3 linked regions of the Styela clava genome follow. The protein of the gene in region 3 interacts with the protein of the main gene of each other region in a pairwise test. Links are inferred from orthologs where the notes say so. Each region holds a gene or a part of one and is shown on either strand. Other genes may lie near its edges.

Region 1 (7,273 bases), on a different chromosome or scaffold from region 3:
ACAGATTTTTATTTTCGTTTTAAAACAAGTGTTTCCCAAAGGAATAACACTACGCATTTTACAGAATACTATTCTACAGATTATAAATTTGATAAAAACTTCATATGTTTTTTAATTTAAACAAAACTTGTCCCCCTGAATTGAACACTCATTGAAATCTATTGATTTGAAACACAATCCCATTTTTAAAATAATACAGACTGTTTACATGAGGACATATCACATAGTACAAACACCATGCTAAAATGAGCAAAGAATTCAATATATATACAAATATACAAGTGCAGAAAGTGTGTGATAAAAAATATTGATGAAAATATCACATTTTTATGATTTAGTTAACAGCCAATAAAAACCAATGAATGAGTTGTAGCTTGGGTGTCTAATGCATCTGATTATTTCCACATACAACAAATCAGCAATACAGTATGTATGTTCACTTCAGGTCAAATCATATTTCACAAGGTAATGCAAAAAATAACCTCGAATAATTTACAATTTTGTTCTAAGATTTTGAAAAACGTGACTCAATATTCTGGTTAAAATGAACAACCATTACAAATAGCATGACACCACATCAATAAAAAGTTTGATAAAATATTACAATTATAGACATAAAATTAAATCGCACATTTATTTTACAATGTATTAATTGATCCAAACACTTCCTGTGATGCATAAGTCATATACAAAAATCCATCTTCATCTTTTTCTACTGCGTAAACCTCAGAAATTGGTGATGAAACACTGACCATGCTCCTTTGGTTGACAAGCAAGAAAAATGCCTGGTTGGGACTCAGATGAAGTCTTCTCCTGAAAATAGATTAAAACAACCAAACTTTATAATACTTTCCTCCAATCATCCTACAGAATATATCGAAATATTCTAAAATCTATTCCTGCCACGATACTCACATAGTATGTGTCCCAGGTTAGGGTAAGGCCATAATTTTATTCCGATTTTCTTAATCTTAGTAGTATTACGAGTTCAGGGACTGTCTGTGTTAGCCAAGTCAATATACCCCCCGCCCATAGGCTTCCATCCCTTTACACAACTTGATGTGGAGTAGGCCACAAAGTCCAAGAATTCAAACAACCATTAGAATGGCATGGTGGATTTAAAAAAAATTTTAACACAAAAGATAAAATAATGCTACTATTTTTTATATGGACTAAAGAAAATGCAACTTTTAAAAAGAGAGAATCAATTTGTATTTAATCATCAGAAAAGATAAACCCTACAGATCTCCCAGATGTATTGTTCACTCTTTATCTAATTGGCGTGCAGATGTGTTTTTGATGTGTATGGCTCTTGTGACGATGTGAAATGACTATTATTCACACATCCCCACAAAGAAAAAGGTGAAAATAAAAACAAAAACACATTGTTATGAGGGCATTAACATTCCTGAGTAAATAAAAATTACTTTATTTAATGGTTCGGATGTATCATTAAATCGTCAAATTTTAAAAATGACGTTATTACTTCTTCGGGCAATTACAAAATTAGCCAAGCAAGTATTTTGATTAGTGAACAAATAGCTCACGGAGCCCCTATATTTCTCTCACGTGGTACTGGGGCCCCGTATGGACCACTACGAGAACCTATGATCTATAGTAGCCTACCTCTTAGGTATTACATATATTTTTTAAAGTTTATTTATAGAAATTTTATTTTGCACAATTAGCTCCTATCGGCCGGCTAAACTGGCTGTATATATTTTTGGTTTCTTCAAAGCTTTGTAAACTAATCTTCACTGACATCATAGCCAAGATAATAATTTGTTATCTGAGTAGAGTAATCTAAAATGGAAACAAATGGCTGAAAGAGTCATGCTTCTGAGTAATAAGCATCATACAGTGACTCGATAAAATATAAGCCATTGATTGCCTTCGTTTTACAGTAAAGTTCAAATTCCCACCGTATTATTCGCACCAATTCACACATCGAGACATGATCTGGCACAAGAAATTTGGTTTTATCAAGTATCGGCAAATTCTTTTCTCCATGATATTTCTCTATTATCACCTGTGAAAATATATATTTTAATTAAACAAGTTATATATGAAAATATTAGGTTTTCTTTGAAAATCTCAAATAGGCTTTTCTTTGCTGTGATATGGGTCCACAAAAACCATTGAAATCTATTTTGTTAAAAATTAACATACGGTAATTATGAATTGATAACTTTAACAACTGGAATTTGCGTGTAAAAAAAATTTGAAAATGATAACAATACTCACTGGAATTTTGTTGGGATGTTGTTCACGAATCTGTAGGACATCAGAAACTCTTTCATCTAAATTTGAAAACAGCATTTTAAATTACACAATAATCATCTAAGCTGGGAATCATTATCACTTTAAAACTCAAACCTCATTTCATGAAATTTGTGAAACATCGTGCTAATTTCACAGTAATTTTAATTATCTGAATTGTACAACATTTTGCAAAACTTCTTCAAATTTCAGTGCCATTCAAACTAAATATTTATGTCATAATAAGCCTCCACAAGTTTGAAGAATTGGCATGAAACATATTTTTATTTAGAAAAAAAGCTATCAATTAACGAACATTTTAACAAGATGATCGGTCGGAGACCGAAGACTTATCGATCGAAACTGCGGTTTCGATTCATGACTCTATAGTGACACCGCGTGTCCCACCACTAATTAATTGATAACTCGCTAATTACGCGACATAATTCATCCAAAATCAATAGGCTTCTGGTCCGAGATATGATGAATGCACATGCAAAATTTGGAGCAGATTCACGCCTTCGTGAGATATCGCGTGCATCTAACAGACAAACAAACAAATACCTATCAACATACTTACCGATCTAAAGATTGATAAGTAATAAACAACCAACATAATCCATCATTGGGTAATTTAAATAAAAAAATATAGATTTTATTAATTACTAAACCCACCAAATGCTCTGCGTTGCTTAAATGTTCGCTCGGTCATATTTCCTTGTAACTTTGTCAAACCAACCAGAATACTGTTATCTGGATGTAATCTTATTTAATATATAACTGAAATCTGTTAAATAAAATGTTTGAATAAATATCTGAAATCAGTTCAGAAATGCAAATCAACTCTCCTTAAAATAAGTGAACACCTCAATTAATATATAAAGTAACAAACTGTACTGCCATAGGTCTGTCAGTCTGTAGGTACCAGCGAGATAATCGGCTTAACTCAAATATCTATGTTCAGATATGCAACAGCTTGAATTTGTTACCTTCTACAATATCTATCATTGCCTTTTAAATATCATCACTTTTTATATTGCAACATAGCAATTTGTCGTGGTGAAATTGTATATAAATATCTAAACTACAGAACTACCTGCTGTAGTTTAATCGTTTCTAGAAGCCCTGTGTAAATGTGTATATGGTGCAATGGTTCATATAAACTTACTAACAGGCTAATTATGATAGTTTGTCGGACAAATGAGATCCCATAGCATACAGGCAGCCTACATAATTTCAACAAAACCAAAAAATTTATAGATAATTCATTTTGAAAACTCAGGGATACAAACAAATTTAAAATCATAAAATGAAGTTAATTATGGAGAGTGAGGAAAACCTTTGAAAAAGTTTAAAGCATGAGAAATATCATGCGTCTACTCATCAACACACACAACAGCACAAAGAGTTAAGTGAAAACACAAACCTAGGTCAATAGGTAAGATGGGATTTACATATTTAGGGGAGGAAAGATGGGATTTACATTTTTAGGAGGGAGAGGAAAGGTGGTAATACAGCTTATTTATATGACGAACCTCGGCCTCTCGTCTCGTCCGGTCCATGTCGGGTATGAGATTAGTTAGCCAGTTTTTTGTTCTTCAGATGCATGGGCTTGATGTTCAGATGGCGAAGGGAGGCGTAACCGACCAACGGTAACGTGAACCACACTACGGCGAGGAGGAGTTCAGTATTCCTCTTGCATATAATTTACCCCGCAAGGGATTCGAACCTGCGAACCCATGCAGAGAAATCACAGGCGCGGTAGTGATCGTATTCCTAACGCTTAGCATGATGCGCCACACCATCAAGCGATGGTCGAGGTAGATGAGACTTGAGTCAAAATTAAGTTTTGAGCCATTGGATTTTTAATTCTCTTTAAACTAAAATTACAGTAACCTATTCAATTTGATACAAAGCTAGGGTGAAAAAGTGCAGAAGTGAGAAAGAAGGATCAGAAAGTAGAAGGCACGATACACACAAGCTCAATTCAAAGATATGTTGGTACTGTAAATCTTCAAATTATATGCACGTAAACTCAAAAACACTGATTGGGGAAAACACTAATCAAAACTTTTATCATTCAAACCACCTATTTTTTATGATTCCGCAATGTGGATTAATCAATAATTAAAGAATAAATAAAATATTATATGACAGTAGGAATAACAATAACTACTGCAATAAGTATATACATGTTACTGTGTTAAAACACGAATACATTATCAGTAGAGTCAGAGAGTTGTTCCATACTTCCATTACTGCATTATACTGTTATATTCCATTTTTCAATATAATATTCCGTTGTTATAACTGTATAACCAGCATGTATTTTCCGCAATAATTGTCAGTCAGTACATTATTCAATAAGTAACATTAAATATTTATTAAGAAAAAACAAATTAAACTTCTATGAGTTTCAGTGTACAGCAGTATAATATCAGAATATTGAGTTCTTTTGTAAATTTAGGATTTTATCTATACTTTTCAATATTTCTTCTTGATTTCATCATCACATTGTTTACCCTTGGGTCAACATTTCAAAAAATGACTGAATTCCTCTCTACGGTCTCTAGCCAAATTTTATGTCTGGCAGTGCAATACCAGAATACAGCAATGACAGAATAGCATGAATAATACTGTAATAACTAATAAGACAATGGCATTACGTTCTAAGTTTGACAGATGTGAGTAACATTGATGATTCAAATCTAATAAAATACAAGTAGACTAATATAATTATTTTTCAATACACAATGATGGATTTTCCAAGCAATAGAAAAAACATAATCATAAACGTTGTATGTGAGGGACAATTCCAAACTAAATATGACGTAAACTTGGTTCTTGTGAGCAGAAAACCCATAAGTCATCCCCAAAAATGTGTCTAATTCTAGGTTTTACTTCAAGACTAAGAACATCCCACCTATTTTTTTTTTATTAATATATGTTAATACAAGAATACAATAAAGTTCTTCACATTACACATCCCACCTATTTTCAGCACAAGCTATAGAATCGACATTGCAGCAGCAGTCGAAATGGAAGCCATACATTCGCCCGTTCGCGGAGCAACAACAGTCTTCTTTGTTTACTTCTGCTAGTCCGTCATCTGATCAGATGATTAAAAAAATCATAATTCTTTAACGCCACCGCTGGTCAGTATTATTTATCTCAAAACTCGTTTTCCGATCTCCGTGCCAGAGTATCGGAAAAGTAGAAAGACATAAAAATTTGACTCATGAACCCCCAAATGCTGAACCCACAGAGAACAAGTCGAATCGATATTGTGTAAAAGTCGCAGAGCTACTTTTCGTTTTCCAGACGGCTTCACAATGATCAAATGAAGCCTAGATGAAGAAATTTGAAATCAGATGTTTTCCCCGTGTTAATTTCGAAGTGATCATGTGAAATAACAACTTTAACTCCTACATCCTTTTCTGAACTCAAGGTCTATAAATGGAAAAAATCCTCGCTCAGTCGCGCCCTTGATAACCAATATAGCCGTGAGACGAGGCCGTTTATCTTCCAGTTTCGTAGCGCACATAAGTGAACTATCAGAAAATGATTTTAAAATGGTGCTTGAAAAATTGCACGTTTTGCGAAAAAGACGCTTTTACTACAAAAAATATCTGTCCTATAATCTCTGCTTTTCGGCAACATTTGTCAATGAACGCAGACTTCTGCATGGCGTAACAATAAAATTTTACCAGGTGTAGGTGGATTCCCGAGGTCGAATGAATCTCAGTTTGTACTGCCCGCTCTTGCGTTGAGGTAGGTAGCTCTTTCATCGTCTTTTTTTAGTTATTATTAGTAAAGTTATGATGAGACTGTGCAAAAATTTTACGTAAGCTATTAAACACTTCTAGATCCTTACCGTGGATTGCAATTTTAATTGAGCATTAGCTCCCAAAACGTTTATTAGGTACGGTAAGGTAACTTCAAGGAAGGCTGGACCCAAAAAGATATAACGTTACCCCGAACAACGTATGCTAGTAATAGTATGAAAGGTTTATGATTAATTTAATGACAATTTTTAAGTTTTCAGCAGACTTATACTACCATATACACTACAGCATATTTGATTCAGAAAATGTTTGCGATAAAGGGGGGGGGGGGGTAACGAATTTTACAGAGACAGGATACATGTTCAAGACCTTACTGGCCTAAGACACAGAACAGATGTGCGACATGTACCCCTAACAATTATAACTGCAGTTTAGGACTGCTGCGTTATACTAGAACTAGGACAACAGACATGAAATTGATTATACAAATAAAACTCTAGTAAAATACACAAGAAAAAGAGGTACGGCACAACGGCGATATGTACAATAGTCAGTTTATGGCACGTCCATATCCCAGGTTCCGGTGTGAAAAGATGGAGATAGGGTATGGGTCGCTGAATTGATATGTTTTTACACTAAGTCTCACGAAACAGGTAAAGATTTGTTCGGGATATAAAATTGCCAGAAACCAACGTTGGATGGGGCCACGACACGAGAAAATTTTAAAAAAGCTTAATGTAGAAAACCTTTGGTAAACCTGAGTTTCATAGTTTGCACTGGACCAAACATATGGGAACAATAGAGAGTCTGGCATAAAATGCGGCCATTTTCAGCGCTATTGTGTAAAATTTATTGCCGCCATGTCCCAGCATGATAATTATGAATTTTTAATGAATGACCTAGTTTGCATAATTGACGATACAGCGAAGGAAGTAAGTGAACAATAAAACTATGCAAGATAGAGAGACAATAGATCCGTGGGGTCTCGAAACTTGTTTTCCGATCAATGGAGGTTTGTTTCATGATGACATTGTTAATCGATTGGGGGTATGTTTCATCGCTGTAGTTCTTTTCTGCTATGTACCCTTTGTATCTGAAAAGTAATGTCGGAAAAGTAGGATGTCCTTAACTCACTAAATCTAATAGAATTCCGATAAATGTCTCTTAAGCTTGGATCTAAATTCGGACGTCGTTTTCGAGCTTTTAATACTATTAGGATTAGGCTACGG
Region 2 (7,538 bases), on a different chromosome or scaffold from region 3:
ATATAACACACTGGGGACAGATATAACAGAATCAGAATACTCTTCATAATCACATGTGTACTAATTTTCTCCACAATGACTTTGATAACAGGCTAAATGAGCATTCGAACGATCCGATATAATCATACCAATTCATAATGTTGTTACATATTCATTTTATGGCGTATTATTGTTTTTGTTTTGTGCGTTTACTGTTTTTAAGAACATTGGCTTCATTGATTACATGAGCCTACATATTTACGAGTGATTAGTCAGATCAGATTGTTTTCATAATTGCCTGAGCGTAGAATTTACCAGCATTGTTTTGATTTTTTTTTGTATGTTTCTGGATTCACTGTACCACATTTTCACCAATGCCAAATCAATGTAGTTTTCATGGTTTTTTGACCCTTCTCGCCACCTTATCACATTATACCTACACACGTTGTCTTTGTATCAGATCGAATTAGTCCTTATTGGCTTGAGTATTTTAAAAGTATACAACACCCCGAAAGTTTATTACATACGCGTATTTTTGTGTGTGTTTATTTTTGGCCCAAGCCTTGTTTATCAAGATTTGTGTTTTTTGTTGTGAATGCGTGTTGGTGGGCGGGCACATGATACTCATCGTGTTTTAAACTTTTTTAAAGGTTTCGCTCGCTCTCCAGAATTCTCCATTTTTAATTTTACTTGTATTATCATATTGTGGAGTCATCGAAAAAAAATATCTATCTATCTATCAGCTGACGAGTAGCGTTATATTTGGGATTTCAAAAGTTTTGTATGGGATTTAGGCAGTGGTGGGATTCAGCCGGTTAGCATCGGTTCTATAGAACCGTCTCACGGAATTTTATGAGATCAGCGAACCGATTAGCATTACTGGTTCCTGTCAATGACTTTTTGTAACAGAACCGGCTGAATTCGAAACGTTCACAGCCCAATGACAACTGAAGTAATTGTTTGATTGGCGCTAATAGGCGCGGCGGTGTGGCTCAACGGGCTAAGCGTTAGGAATACGCTCGCCACCGCACCTCTAATTACTCTGCGTGGGTTCGCAGGTCCGAATCCCATGCAGGGATGATTATGCGCGAGAGAATCGCTAGACTCCTCGCCGTCGTTGGGTGATTCACGTAAACGCTGGTCGGTTACGGCTTCCTCCACCACCAAGTTCATGCTTCCGAAAACAAACAATATAACTAATCCCATATCCGACGTAACCGGACGAGAGGCCGTGGTTCGCCTCTCCCCCGGGATAAATATGTAAATCCTAATAGAAAATGTTCCGACTAATGTGAACATGATTCTGTGCAAAATTGAATTTCCCCAACAAGGGTCGCAGCATATTTACCGGTACATTATAAAAGCAGTCCGTGAAATATTTTAGTCAACATAAATTGCGTTTGGCGGAATGATAAACCATTATTTTTATGAAGTTGTCCACACAGAAATAAAACTCTCCATTGTCATTTTAACTGATATCTCCATATTCTAGTCGTTGATCTTCATTCAGTTCATCACATCTACTTGTCCCTCAAAACACTATGATGCGTGACACTATGATTAATATAAGGAAGCGAATCGCAAAGAAACGACAAAAACAACAGATAAATGATTACTCCTAAAAAAGCACAATTCTACACGTGTTTTAGTGTTGAAAAACTCAAGAACCACAACGGTGGTTTGGCATTTGGTTAACACAACGCTCACAAACCCCAGGTTGAGTTAGAGAAATGGTCCCGTTTTCTTCACTTTCATCCAGTCGTTGCTTTCATCCTATGTTACATGGTGAGATTGACCATGTAGTGCTTTTACTTTTTCGTTTTTTAAAAACCAAATTTGAAGTTTCAGAAACTTCCCCGAATCCCCCGTATGTCTGTCTCGTGTGTCGCCATTTTTGTCTCACAGCGAAGTTCAAATCGAATTACTTTAATTTCCTTTGTGTATAATTACATTTTTTCATGATTGTTTATATACTTTTGACAGTTTTACGTGCTTTAATTTTTGTGGTGATTCTTGCACGATAGAAATAAAATATCTGAATATATAACATTTCAAACGGGGCCGACATAGAAAACATTGCTTATTGTTTCCCATGGCATCATAGCGTTACAGAATTACTGACAGCAGTGATGATACAAATGTCATATTTCCATTACTGATTGTGGTGCAATTTCATTTTAAGTCAGACAGGACGCGATCAAAGGGAACACCAAGGAAGTCCCTGGTGATGCAATGAACCGAATCGATATAAACAAATGAAATCATATGATTACTCTCCTGACTGCTAGTATTCATCCGCATCGACACTATTTACAAAGCTTACTTATTGCTATTTGACGGTATTTTGGGGTTTGAAATGTTAAAATAGCACTTAAACTTGTTGAATATAAATTTATTGATAACCTATGATTAAAATATAGTATAAATTTTGTGACGAGCGTTAAAAATATTTGTTGGTCAGCATTTGAGGAACTAGTTGCCATTATACAAAGTCGACATCGCAGAAGGGTTGTTTCTAAAGCAATGGTAATGGTATGAATTTTGTCTTTATTTTGATTTTTACTATTCATATGTATTGGGGGGAATGGGATTAAATTAAAAAATGATAAACAAAAACATGGAAACAAAAAAATATCTATTTATATATTTATAATAAAATGATTTGATACCAAAATATTAATACGAAAATTCCGTTTGGCATTGGAATTTATTTGGCACAAAAAAAAAAAAAAAAAGAAGATTGTGTCGCAAATTGGGACAGTTGTAAAATACTTTATAGTAATGTAGTCTAAATGCTCCAAATTCTGAAATTACTGAATCTGCATATCCTGAATTTGTCTGTTTAACTTCACTTTTCGTTCCCCATCCTTCGCCCAAAAGGTCAGTGATATTATAGGCGGATACGGTGAAGGGGCATTGCACGATTTTACATCGTGTCTTTATTTATTTAAGATAGATATTTTGTGTTCTTTTGACTGATTTTGGTGGACGGGCACGTACTTGTATGCTTTTAACTTTTTTTTATTAAGTTATGCCCGTCCTCCAGGTCCTCTGCATTCTGTTTGTTGTTGTTTTGTTTCTTTTAGAGTGACCAAAATAAATTGATTGATTGAAGGGGACAAAGAAACAAATGTAAACAGATAAATATTGTCGGACTATAAGGGCGTGATATTGTTCTGATTATTGCTGTTCCGAATTAATTTTGGACTTTTACATTATGGGCTGTATTGGTACAGCTGTAATTAATTCTGTAAATGGATGGTTGGTGACTTTGTCTGTTTGTGACTTCTTGCAATTTTTCAATAACAGAAATATGCAATTTGTCTACCAGGTATTTTATTGTTGAGTATACTGTGGTTGACTGATTACAGTTACAAAATTATTAATATGGTTTGACAAAATTTATTTTTTTATTTTGTTTGTATATTTTCTATTTACTAAGGTATATATCTTATATTCTTATGTTTAGCTTTTCTCTGTTCTAATTTTATTCAACTTGCTGATTTGTGAACGAGCATGTACCACGTCTTACGTTTTAAATCTTACTCAAAGATGCTTGATTGCTCAATAGCACACCTTGCTATGCTGGTTGCCTTAACATTTCGATTTGGCTTAGGATAGCATGTACATTTATATCTGTATATATTTCATGAAGCTACGACGGCCCTGACTGTGGAATAGTTCAAAGCCTGTATACTATATCTGTATATACTTCGTTAAATCGGGTCTGGTGTAGTTTCGTACCTAACATACTTCTAGTAAGCGAAGCATAACAATTTTTCGATATCCCAATCCTAACCCCCATCTGATTACGCTATCCAAAAATATTTTTCATGTTTGGAAAGCATCTCCTATTGCTTGGTTGTTAAACTTTTAATTTATTAGCTTTTGTTGAAGGCACTTGAAATAAAATGTTCTTATCATTTGCTTTATATTTAGTCCTTCCATTTTTGAATATAGAACGGAGCTTAATAACACCAGTCATCATTTCTAGGTTTCCTTTCTATAACATAAATCATTAGCATTTGCTGGTTATTTTCAAATAGTTCGAGAAATGTGTTACTGCAGTACTGTGTTACATTGAACTTCTGGGGAATGTGCATGCACTTGTCCATGCCTGATTTTAATAAACTTGTATCAATGCAATCTATATATGAATAGCCTCTTTTACGTGACTAGAGTTCTTTATTCCAAGCCAGAGGTGGATAATTACCTTATTACAGGTTACAGTAGACTTGGTTACTGGGCCGTAGGCTCAAAAAAAAAAAAAAAAAACATTTCATTTACAAAAGCTAGTCCAACAGCTAGGCTAACGTTTATTCAATAATAAGTAGCAAAAGTAACAATCGTGGTCATTATGACGTTGTTTTTTTCGATATTACCAACAGAAATTTATATTCATAAAAAACTATAGTCGTAATTTTAGCAATTACAAATAGGTCCGTTAAAACACTTCGATGGTTCGGATCTGGCCCGCGAGCTATAATTTGCCAACCCATGTTCTAAGCTGTTAATTTCTACTTCAGATATCTATATAGGAAGCTAATTATAACTCGTTGCAGTAATTCACTGCGTTGTTTGTTTGAGCGTTATCATCAAAGTTATTTCAAGATGAAGTGGGTTTACAAAGAAGAACACAATTTTGAGAAGAGACGAAGTGAAGGGGAAAAAATAAGAAAGAAGTATCCTGATAGAGTTCCTGTGAGTTTTATTCATGGTTTAAAATAAATAACTTTTTATTCCCAGGTTTTGTTCCACTTAATGGTGTGTGACAGATTCGTATATTATTATTTGTTAAATATTATATTGATTTATAGTTTAACAAACAATTAACAGCTGGACTCTGATAAATCCTCTCTCTGGCAATGGGTTCCACTTGTGTGCTTCAAGCAATACTGGAGAATAATATTGTTATTTGCCCCCCTAAGATTACTATATAATACTGTAATATGATGTTATAGGTTTTATCTTGTTTTAAGTAGCAGATTAAGTTGAGCTATGATAAGTAAGTTTACAAATATACTTTGTGACAAAATTTCTTATATTTTTACCAGGTAATTGTAGAAAAGGCAGAAAAATCAAAGATTGGAGATTTGGATAAAAAGAAATATCTTGTTCCATCAGATTTAACAGGTAGATTTATTTCAAGATTGTCCAATGTTGTTATGAACCAAAGCTTTTACTTTATGTGCTTTTACTAGCGCAGTGGTTCTTGAACTTTCCGTAACCCCCTTTCAAAGACTCTGACCATTTCATGGCCACCTGCTCTTCAAATAAAATTTTACAGACCATGTGCTAGTCCAAATACAACTAGTGACCATGAAGTCTCGAAAAAAATTTTAAAATTGCAAAGGGAATTTATCGATGTCTTATTGTCTTGGCACTCACAAATGTATTAGATGAATTAAAAATACAAATGAAGTAAATAAACAATTACTGATTAAAAAAACAACAAACCTTGTTATGATTGGTTAAGATATATTGAGAACTGACTTCATAACAGTATTGGAATTGTAAAGGGACTTGGACACCCTGTATATACAATATTGAACATAAAAGCCAGTTTGTGTACAAGTAAAGTTAATCCTTCTATAAACACACAGAGTAGGTCTCATCCTATTAAGATTGATGTAATTAGATCACACGCTGAGACCAAATCGATTAATTTAGATTATCAATAATTATATATATATTGATCAGATCATAATGAAACTGAAATAAGATATCACAGCTTCCACCCAACTTAATTTTTATTGAACCTTGTATCGCCTACCCTTCCATGATTCGATATGGAAGAATTTAATAATTTAAAATGCACTTTATTTTGAGTATTTACTAAATATTCTTATTAATGGTAGCAGGGAGTATTCCCGTAGTGTGTGTACCAGTTTATGGTTAGGCCATAATTTTATTCTGATTTTCCTTACTTTAGTTCTATTACAAGTTTGGAGACTGCCTGTGTTAGCCAAGTGAATATACCCCCTTCCCGTAGATTTTAGTCACTTTATACAACTTGATGTAATGTAGGCAAACAAAATTAGTTACCTCCATATTCTGGAGCGCCGATTTACGTGATCTTTGTTATACTATTCACAAACCATCATAAGACTAAGTCACATGACATGGATCTGAGTCATGCTTCAATAATTATGAATAATCACATATACATCACTGAATCATACTCAAGTAAATTATTGATGGTCAAATGTTTGTTCATATCTTGTTTATAAACGGCCCATGCTTGAACATAGTTTGAACTAAAGATCAATTTGGTGTCAAAAGTATGTCTCATTGTATCGATGGATTGTGATGTGACAATCACAACATACCGGCTCACGGACAGCTGTAGATGATTGTGCAGCGTATACAATCACTACTTAGCTTTGTGATATTCAAACAAATTGTACAAACTTCCATGTACTCGTCTATGTTATATACACCAGTGGTTCCCAACCGTTTTTTCTAGCGACCCAAATTTTTGAAAAAATTAAATTTGTAAAATCTGGCAACCCAAGGTTATGCTCAAATACTAAACGTCATGTAGTACTTTTATGGCCGGAAAATTGAAGAACTGATATAAAATAAAGTGAGAAAGATGCGCTAGTTTGCCCTCAGCGAGGTTTTGAAATCGTGGCGTAGTTTTCTGAAGCAAAACACATAAATGCTTCACGTATACAATTGCTATTGAGCAATACTTTAATACCCACCGGTAATATAAAATAAACAATAAAATTTACTTGAAAATAAAATTAATATCTTGTTGGTTATTGCAAGACAGAAATTTTGCCTTACATATTGAAGTGGCGCGCGGAGAAATATTGAAAAACAGAAACGGTCAGTGTGCGCTATCGAAGCAATATTTTTTGTTGTGTTAGTGATAAATATATTATATAAAAATATTTTTTGTCGAATATTACTGATGCTGTGTCTGTGTGCAGCCAGCCTTGAGCAAAACAAAATGAATGCTGCATATTTTTCACGCTGTGATACTTCTCATGCATTTAAGCAACACTTCAATACCAGATACAAAATAAACAATAAAATTTACCCAAAAATGAAATTATTAACTTTTTGTTTTTTGTTGAAGAAACCAAGTTTTGGGTGGCAACGAATAGGTTGGGAAACACTGATATATAACTATATACTATGTTACAGCATTCTAAAATTTTCGATGTAAATCAGATCTTTTAATATTTTTAATTTTCGTTCAGAAAATTGTTATTTTGGAAACTTTGTAGAGTACTGCAGAAAATTAAAAATTTACATGAAAGCATGTTTTTTTTGTATTTTCTGCATTATGAAATACATTCTAATTGTTTGTTCAAATTTTTTATCCACCTTTCCAGATAAGGAATATTTAATATTCTATAATTAAAAATATTTTTTATCAAAATAGATAAGCAAACACCAAACAGTATCAGCTTTGAAAATCTTTTCGTTCTTGTATACATCATTACACATCAGCGGAACTTAGCAAGAATACTACAAGAATAATAGTTCAAATTTATTGATTTGAATATGCAAACTGTAAAGTAAAAATTGTCATAAAACGTGTTGCT
Region 3 (7,478 bases):
ATCACCTATCTGTCGTATATTATAACAGTGAAATTTACATCGATCATAACATAAGATATATTTGTAAGGATTTAATAAAATGAAATAAATTTGAACACTAACATGACAAAGAAAAACTTGAAAACAAATTATGTAAAATACAATTTCAATATCAACCAGTTTCCCTGGAGTATTTAATAACATCAATTTATTAAGAATATAGAAAATGACATTACTCATTACCTTAAAAATAAGTTTAGAGACATATTTAAAGAAGTTGTATTGTACTGGAAACAATGAACAATTCCCTTTAGCAGCATGTTTTGTTTCATTTTTGTTTACATGTTTTTTCACATCATCAAAGAATATAGGTCTGATATTTAATGTCATGGGTCACCAAAACATGCCATAAAAAATATTGTAAAATTCATTAGAATTATTTCAACACATTAATAGGTTGGATCAGGGTTTCCCAAACTTTTTGGGTCGCGGACCCTGTTTGTGAATCTAATTTTTGACGGACCGCCATCATATTCCATATCAATTTCTGTGCCTAACCAACAAGGGGGGATATCGTTTCATTTACAACACAAACGTCATTAATGTAATAGATGAAGTTGCATACAAAATCAGCATGCTGTTTTTCACTGCACAATTTATCAATTCTCAGGGCAATTTGTTACAAGCAAACTAGGTCTGACTCTACAGTAAGTCTCGAGCTGCATTTTGTCATTAACTGTTAAGAGCCGAAATTGCTGCCTCACACATGTAGGTCGTTGCAGAAGGCAATATAATTTTAATTTTTGACAGCAATGGATATTTGTCACATCGCTCAAACAAAAAGACGCGAAGGCTTTTTGACTGAAATCAATCATTAAAGATTGATCACACTCTTTTCATATCATTGCATTGCACCCCCTGTGCAGTTATCATGGACTCCCAGGGGTCCGTGGACCCCAGTTTGGGAAGCCCTGGGTTAGATGAAAAAAATCATAAGGCATCATAAACAATTCATGAATATACACATAGGCATGTATAAAGTTGTAAAGAAAAGCACACCATTTTAAGTAAACTTGAAAAATTAAGACCTGCTACATAATATAATTCTACATCTGAGATATTTCCGACCGGGTAAACCGAATAGTTTACACCAGGGGTGGGCATTTAAGACCGTACTGCAAAGTTTATATGCAATCAGTCCATATTTAAATGTGAAATGGTGGAAAATAGAATCATAAAGAAACAGTCTCAATTTATCAGGCCGCGATATCATGGCTAATTATTTTATACTCTAAGAGGATTGTCGAGTTGCACAAGAAAGTAGAGTATTTCTCAATTAACAAAAGCGTATCTAAAATGTGCTCAGGGAACACAAATTTAAATTTAGTAAAATGTACTTTTTGGTCAGAATATCATGAAAAAGTCCAATCGTTCAGAATAAAAATAATTACATATGAAATTTGTAAAGTCTCTTTTCATAAAATCTCTAGAATCTCAAATTCCTCATCAACATCATCCAAATCTTCATCAGAATCGAGGGTTAAACATGCATTTTCATCCTCCGTCATATCTCCAGTTCTTTTTTTAAAAAGGTTATGAGCCGACACAGAAACCACTTTTGATTCTACTACAGTACATGTTGGAAATGATTCAACAACACCAAATAATGGTAAGCTTTCTTTAGATGACTTCTGTGTTTTTACTCTCTCACATATTCCTTCAAATTCTTTCTTAGTTTTGCATAGAAATCCTAACGCTAAAGAAGGATCAAGGTGGGACATTGGCATTTTACTAGGATACTCGCAATGATAAGAATTGTCATGTTCTATTTCAACTATTTTATCATCCCATACAGCAGCTGGTTGGGTAGTATGTGGGTCAAGGAAGACCATGTAATCAGTGTTTGTATGTCCAATAAAATAATATGCATGATTGGGCTTTCCACCAATTATTCCAACACTTTCTTTCCAAGTTAAACATTCCTTGATATTTTCAAAATATACTGGATTTATCTCTGATAGTCCAAGTCGTAGTGGAATAAATAAAACTAAAGGTTTCCATATTTTGGCTGTATTTGTACGACACGATGATGAAGGTTGATCTTCCTGTTCATTAGAGATAGAGAACGAAGTTGCACTGTTTTCAACTGAAGAGTTCAGACATAATTTTTCCACATCTTTCGTGCATATTGTGTTGTCCATCGCAACATAAACAGTGATGTCATTTTTGTTATCAAATGCAGACAATTTTTTTAGGACCTGAGCAATCGTGTTCGGGCCAAACCATTGACCGACTTCTTTTCCTTCTTGCACTCCCATTTGTGCAATTTGATGTATTGAGTAACAACTTGTTCGTTCATCTGCAAAATCTTTCAATACTTCATAATATTTAGACGACTGAAGTTCGTTTGGTCGCCACTTCCATTGTGGAGACATTTTTAACCTAAGCAAAGTTTGAGCCAGCATCATTTGGCCGCAGCGCAACATACATCCCCAACCTGAATCACTGGTTGGTCCTGTCCCACCAATCGAATCAAATCCTTTTCGATATGTAAACCATAGTTTGGATTTTGCTGCCTCGCAAAACTGTTCTCTATCATTTGGCAGGACATATTTTTTCCCCATTAACCAAATAATTTCATTGTCTGTCCACGAATCTTCTTTTGACAAAACATTTTCATATGTTAAGCAAGAAAAATTGGAGTCGCCTTCCATGTCTAGATATGCAATTACATATAGTATGCAGGTAAGGTATGCAACTACAGAACTAGGAATGAATGTAGATGTAAGTTAAGATGGAGGAGTACTAGGATTCTCCACAATTACCCTGAGGGGAAGAAAGTGGAATAGACGACCTAATTGGGTCAATGCCTACTGGCACACCTTATTCTCTCGCCGGGGCTGCATTTCAGATTACAGGATTACTGTAAGCAATTACCTTGTCTGCAATGAATAGATCAGTATGCTCCCGTTTACAGGTTTATGCAATCATTGAAACATCTAATCGCAGATTTATTACTCGTTTTTCGCAATGATTAATTGAAGAAAACACATAAGGAAAAACATTAAACAAAGACTCTGATAATCTTCCATAATAATTTCGAAGTGATCAGGACTGTTAAATAACAATCTTAATTCTTATATCCTTTTTTGAAGTTAAGTGACTGAACTACAGAACTAGGTGCGCTATGATAGTTTATTTCAACTCTAGCTCCTACAAGTGCGATTACTTCAGAGACGAGCAAAATAAATCAACGTTTTTTTTAAATATCCCAGTGCCAATAAAGAATATAATAATTTTGTATTTTTTGTCCATATAACAGTGTATTAGATAGTTTTGGATGCCAATTCTAATTTAGGTTAATATTGAGTTCGGAATACAATTGCATTATTTGAATTCCGTTTAGGTGGAGAAAAATAAGTATACAATACCCATACAAAAATTACAAAATATTTCACACATTCAATATCAGCAATTCATTGTAGTTCCAATAGAGTCGATCGTTGTCCCAAATGTCATCATGGTGAAGATTATAGGATATGTTTTATATTAGCATGGAAAAACAAAATTTATAAAGATTAGCCAGCTAATTTGAATGGGGTACCTATTAGGGTTAGTTCGGATACCTATAATTTTTATTATCCGCATAACGGATATAACCGGGTATTCTGTATTTTAAATATCCGGTTAACCAGATAGTTGCTGCCGATTTCGCACGATTTTAGCGGCGAATTGACCAAAAACCACCACACAGTTCTATTGTAAATACTCACATATGTATTATTTTCCTTGAATAAGAATGATTGTGCATTTTAATATTGAATGTGTCAATAAATGATAATTTAAGTTATGTAATCGTACCGATGTACAGCGGAATAATAAAATGAAACATGTTTTGAAAATATTGTGTCCTAATTATTTTTTCCCCGACTGCTAAGTTATTTTCTCCTATTCAAATAATATGTAAAGATTTATATTATTTCTAATTTATTGTTAATTTTTTTAAAAGCTTCTTTTGTGTCTAGAGCCTCTTTTCATTAAATTTTGACTCGTACTAAATTTTAGTGTCGCAGACTCACAATGATCATTTCTGATCATCCGCACCTTCCTATCAATTGCAATGAAATTTAATATTGTCATGTATAGTATTTTGTGTTCTATAATATTTTGTGATTTCTTGCACGACGAAATAAACTTTGTTAATATATACCACAAGAGCATACATATAAATGAAAACACGATCACAAAAAATCGTGCATTTCGAACATTTGATTTCGTTGAGAGAAGTATCCAAAAAAAAATAGAATATAGGGGGGACCACTTCCGTGAAGTGTATAAAAAATATAAGTAATCTGAACAAAAATTTTAATAACAAAGCAAATTGATGGTTTTGAAAATACCAAAGTGGTCAGGAATTTCTTCTAATTTGAAAACTTCACTTATTTAACATGTCACTGTAAATATTCTCACGTTTGTACTAATTAGGCCACAACTTCAAATCTATTTCCATTCGAATATCTTTTAAACTAAATTAACAGAGCCAAAACAATGCTGCGCCAGTTTTTGAACAACTTTACTTACCACCCTCAATGAGTAAATGAAAAACATGACACGATACAAAGTCTGTCAGATTAAACTTTGCTGAAATATTATAGACCATTTTACAAACAAACTTGTTTGGGAAAGTTCCATGAAAACCATAAATGTAATAACAGCCCTTCCTCCTCTTTTTAAAATTTTTGAAAACGTCACTAAGGCGGTCGAATTTTACTGGCTAATTTTGTCATCATCGCCGATCGTTTTCTTTATTTGGGGAGTTAATATCGGCATTATGCCAGTTTTAATTTGAAAAGAAGTTACATTCCGTGACAAGTTACCCTTGTTGTAAATTCAGTAAATACGATTATTACGAAATTTTGGCGATTCAACAGCGCCTAAAACAGAGTTTTTTTTATCTATCACTGGCTCATAAATCAAGAGTCGTGATATTTTCCTTAGCATTTACTTCCTTATTTTCAGTCAAAAATGTGTGCTTCAGATCTACTCTCTTAACGATAGATAGATACGACGATAGATAACATACTGCGCCATTTCAATTCCAGGCGAAATAATACAATTATCCGCGTTATATACCGATGAGACTGAACCCGACTTTTCTCCCGAAAAGCTAATTAATCTGCATTTATTGTACTAAATAAATTATGCTCATTGGAATTGCAATAATAACTCAAATTTGATGAATTTGCAAAATCGCAAAAATACGAAATTGGATTTATTTGTGCAGCTTACCACTTATTTTCATATCTAGAGTAGAAATGCTTTTATTTTAACGTAAGTCGGGCTCTTCTATAACGCAAATACGCAATAATCACATTTTTCTGCATGTTTTGTGATGTAATAGTCAAGTTCACTCCAGCATTACACGGATGACTAAAATATAGGCAGAGTAGTGTGGATATTAGTGATTATTATATGCTCTGAGAGATGTCAGTGGCCACTCAACAAAAAATATAAAAATCACTAATGCGCATATGCATTATTTATACTGCTCTATTATCCGGTTAATCGTTACAATAATATCCGGATATCAGATAGCAAAATACCTCTTGGTTAACCGGTTATCAGATAGCAAAATACCTCTTGGTTAACCGGTTAACCGCTACTCGGATAATCCAACCCTAGTACCTATCATGACAAGAGGATTTTACTATTTCCTGTCTACTGGTCTATGTAAAAGGTTTTATTCATATCTAATCAGTAATCAGTAATCAGTAATTTATTTTATCACCAAGAAATACACACTGTACATACAGAACGAGATAAGAAAAGAGAGGAAAATAATGCATTTCAGGGTGAAAGGGGACGCGATAAACCAGCATTGGTTATCGAGCAACGACACCTATGAATAGTCTAACATTGGGTTATACAAGAACAAAAATCGAACTAAATACAGTACTAAAGTGAGGAGTCGGACGCTAAAATACTAACATTGGCAGAAATATGTTCAAAAAGACCGGATATTTCCGGACTCACTAAGCAAACGACTCCGAACGCCGACTGGCAGATAACCATGACAACTACGGCACAAATACGGTAACGTCTAAGTGACTGGAGCACCATATTGCAAGCTGAGTTGGACGGTACCGGCACTGTGCTGATGCATGGTTCATAAAGGCTGGGGACGAATTTGTACACGAGGATAATATGAAGAGAGAAAAAAGAATAAAATGTATCTACAGGTTTGGGCAACAGATTAAGAGATCACTAAACCAGGTAATTGCATTGAGTTACATTACTTACAAATAGTCATTTTGTGTGGCATAAATATAACTAATTTCAGAATTTTAAATCACAACGGTTCTGAAGTGCGATCGAATAGGTCATGTAGAATATAGAAATCATTGAATTAAAAAAATGTATATACACAACAGTTCAATAGGACGGTTCATGCAGAATTTATGTCAATAAATTACATAAATTTAAAGTCACAGCAGTACAATAGCCTACTATGATAAGGCAATTCATGCAGAATATATAAGTCACTCAATTATAAAAATGAAAAATTCACCGAATTACAAACATATAAAATAAATATACTAATAGTATGGGTCAGTCGGACAGCTGTAGTAGCTGATCAACATAATCCTATTTTGGCCTAGACTGTGCTGTCAAATCTACTGGAACCAGAATCCTGGCATATGCTGCCTCTAATTTTAGAGACATTTTGTTTTTTGAAAAAGCGTAAATGTACCTCCACATATATCTGTGAGGGCATAAGTGAGTCAGTATATTAACAATATATATCAATAAAAGTATTTTAAGTAGATATCCGAAAAATTTGCCAAATAAACATTGATAATTCCGTTTATTAAGAATAGTAAAATGTTTATTACAGGTTACTTGGACTCGAGGACTGTGGATCAAGTCGAGTAAACTCATTGTATGATCAAGTAATCCTGGAGAATTCACTTTGCAAATTCAACTGGACCGGTAGGTGGAAATCATGAGTTTTTTATACTCTATTTTGAAAGCGGCATAAGACGAATCACGTAGGGTTTGGGGTAGGTTATTCCAAATTCGCACACCTATGAATTTGAGGGACTTTTGGGATTTGGCAAGTGAGAAGCGAGGAACAAAGTAGTTACGCCTTGTTGAAGAACGAGTGTTATGTTCATGCACTGAACTTAGCGTGACAAAATAATTGTCAAAAGCTGCTGGTAATTGATTGTTTTGAAATTGATGCATAATTTTTGAGATTTCTAGTTTATAGATGTCAGTCAATTTAAGCACTCTAGTTTTATGGTATGAATAATTTAAATTCGAACGATATGGTGCTCTAGCGAGGATTCTAACGGCTCTATTCTGTAAAACCTCTAATCTATGCATGTTGGACTGAGTTGTAGAGCCCCAAGCAGCTATGGCATATTGTATATGAGATTGAAAAAGTGCAAAGTAAACGGTTCTCAAGGTGGAATTTTGTAAATAATTTTTTAGCTTTC

Evidence for each region.
Region 1: the proteins of cysteine protease ATG4B-like (region 3) and microtubule-associated protein 1 light chain 3 beta-like interact in binary tests that used the Caenorhabditis elegans proteins (3 or more experiments, as listed by UniProt). The link is inferred for Styela clava from reciprocal best matches to the Caenorhabditis elegans genes atg-4.1 and lgg-2.
Region 2: the proteins of cysteine protease ATG4B-like (region 3) and gamma-aminobutyric acid receptor-associated protein interact in binary tests that used the Caenorhabditis elegans proteins (3 or more experiments, as listed by UniProt). The link is inferred for Styela clava from reciprocal best matches to the Caenorhabditis elegans genes atg-4.1 and lgg-1.

The regions. Positions count from the first base shown.
Region 1 is NC_135263.1:18,745,364-18,752,636, forward strand, and holds the start of microtubule-associated protein 1 light chain 3 beta-like, read right to left. Parts: upstream 3,052-7,273; 5' UTR 2,972-3,051; coding exon 2,935-2,971; intron 2,301-2,934; coding exon 2,245-2,300; intron 2,030-2,244; coding exon 1,923-2,029; intron 814-1,922; coding exon 639-813; 3' UTR 1-638. UniProt on the Caenorhabditis elegans protein: Ubiquitin-like modifier involved in the formation of autophagosomal vacuoles (autophagosomes). When lipidated mediates tethering between adjacent membranes and stimulates membrane fusion. Less effective at promoting membrane fusion than lgg-1.
Region 2 is NC_135256.1:5,678,930-5,686,467, reverse strand, and holds the start of gamma-aminobutyric acid receptor-associated protein, read left to right. Parts: upstream 1-4,503; 5' UTR 4,504-4,590; coding exon 4,591-4,680; intron 4,681-5,033; coding exon 5,034-5,112; intron 5,113-7,538. UniProt on the Caenorhabditis elegans protein: Ubiquitin-like modifier involved in the formation of autophagosomal vacuoles (autophagosomes). When lipidated mediates tethering between adjacent membranes and stimulates membrane fusion during autophagy. Recruits lipidated-lgg-2 to maturing autophagosomes.
Region 3 is NC_135251.1:22,062,080-22,069,557, forward strand, and holds cysteine protease ATG4B-like, read right to left. Parts: upstream 3,036-7,478; 5' UTR 2,694-3,035; coding exon 1,455-2,693; 3' UTR 533-1,454; intron 487-532; 3' UTR 9-486; downstream 1-8. Other genes in the region: queuosine 5'-phosphate N-glycosylase/hydrolase-like, read right to left, coding at 1-2. UniProt on the Caenorhabditis elegans protein: Cysteine protease required for autophagy. Cleaves the C-terminal amino acid of ATG8 family proteins lgg-1, to reveal a C-terminal glycine.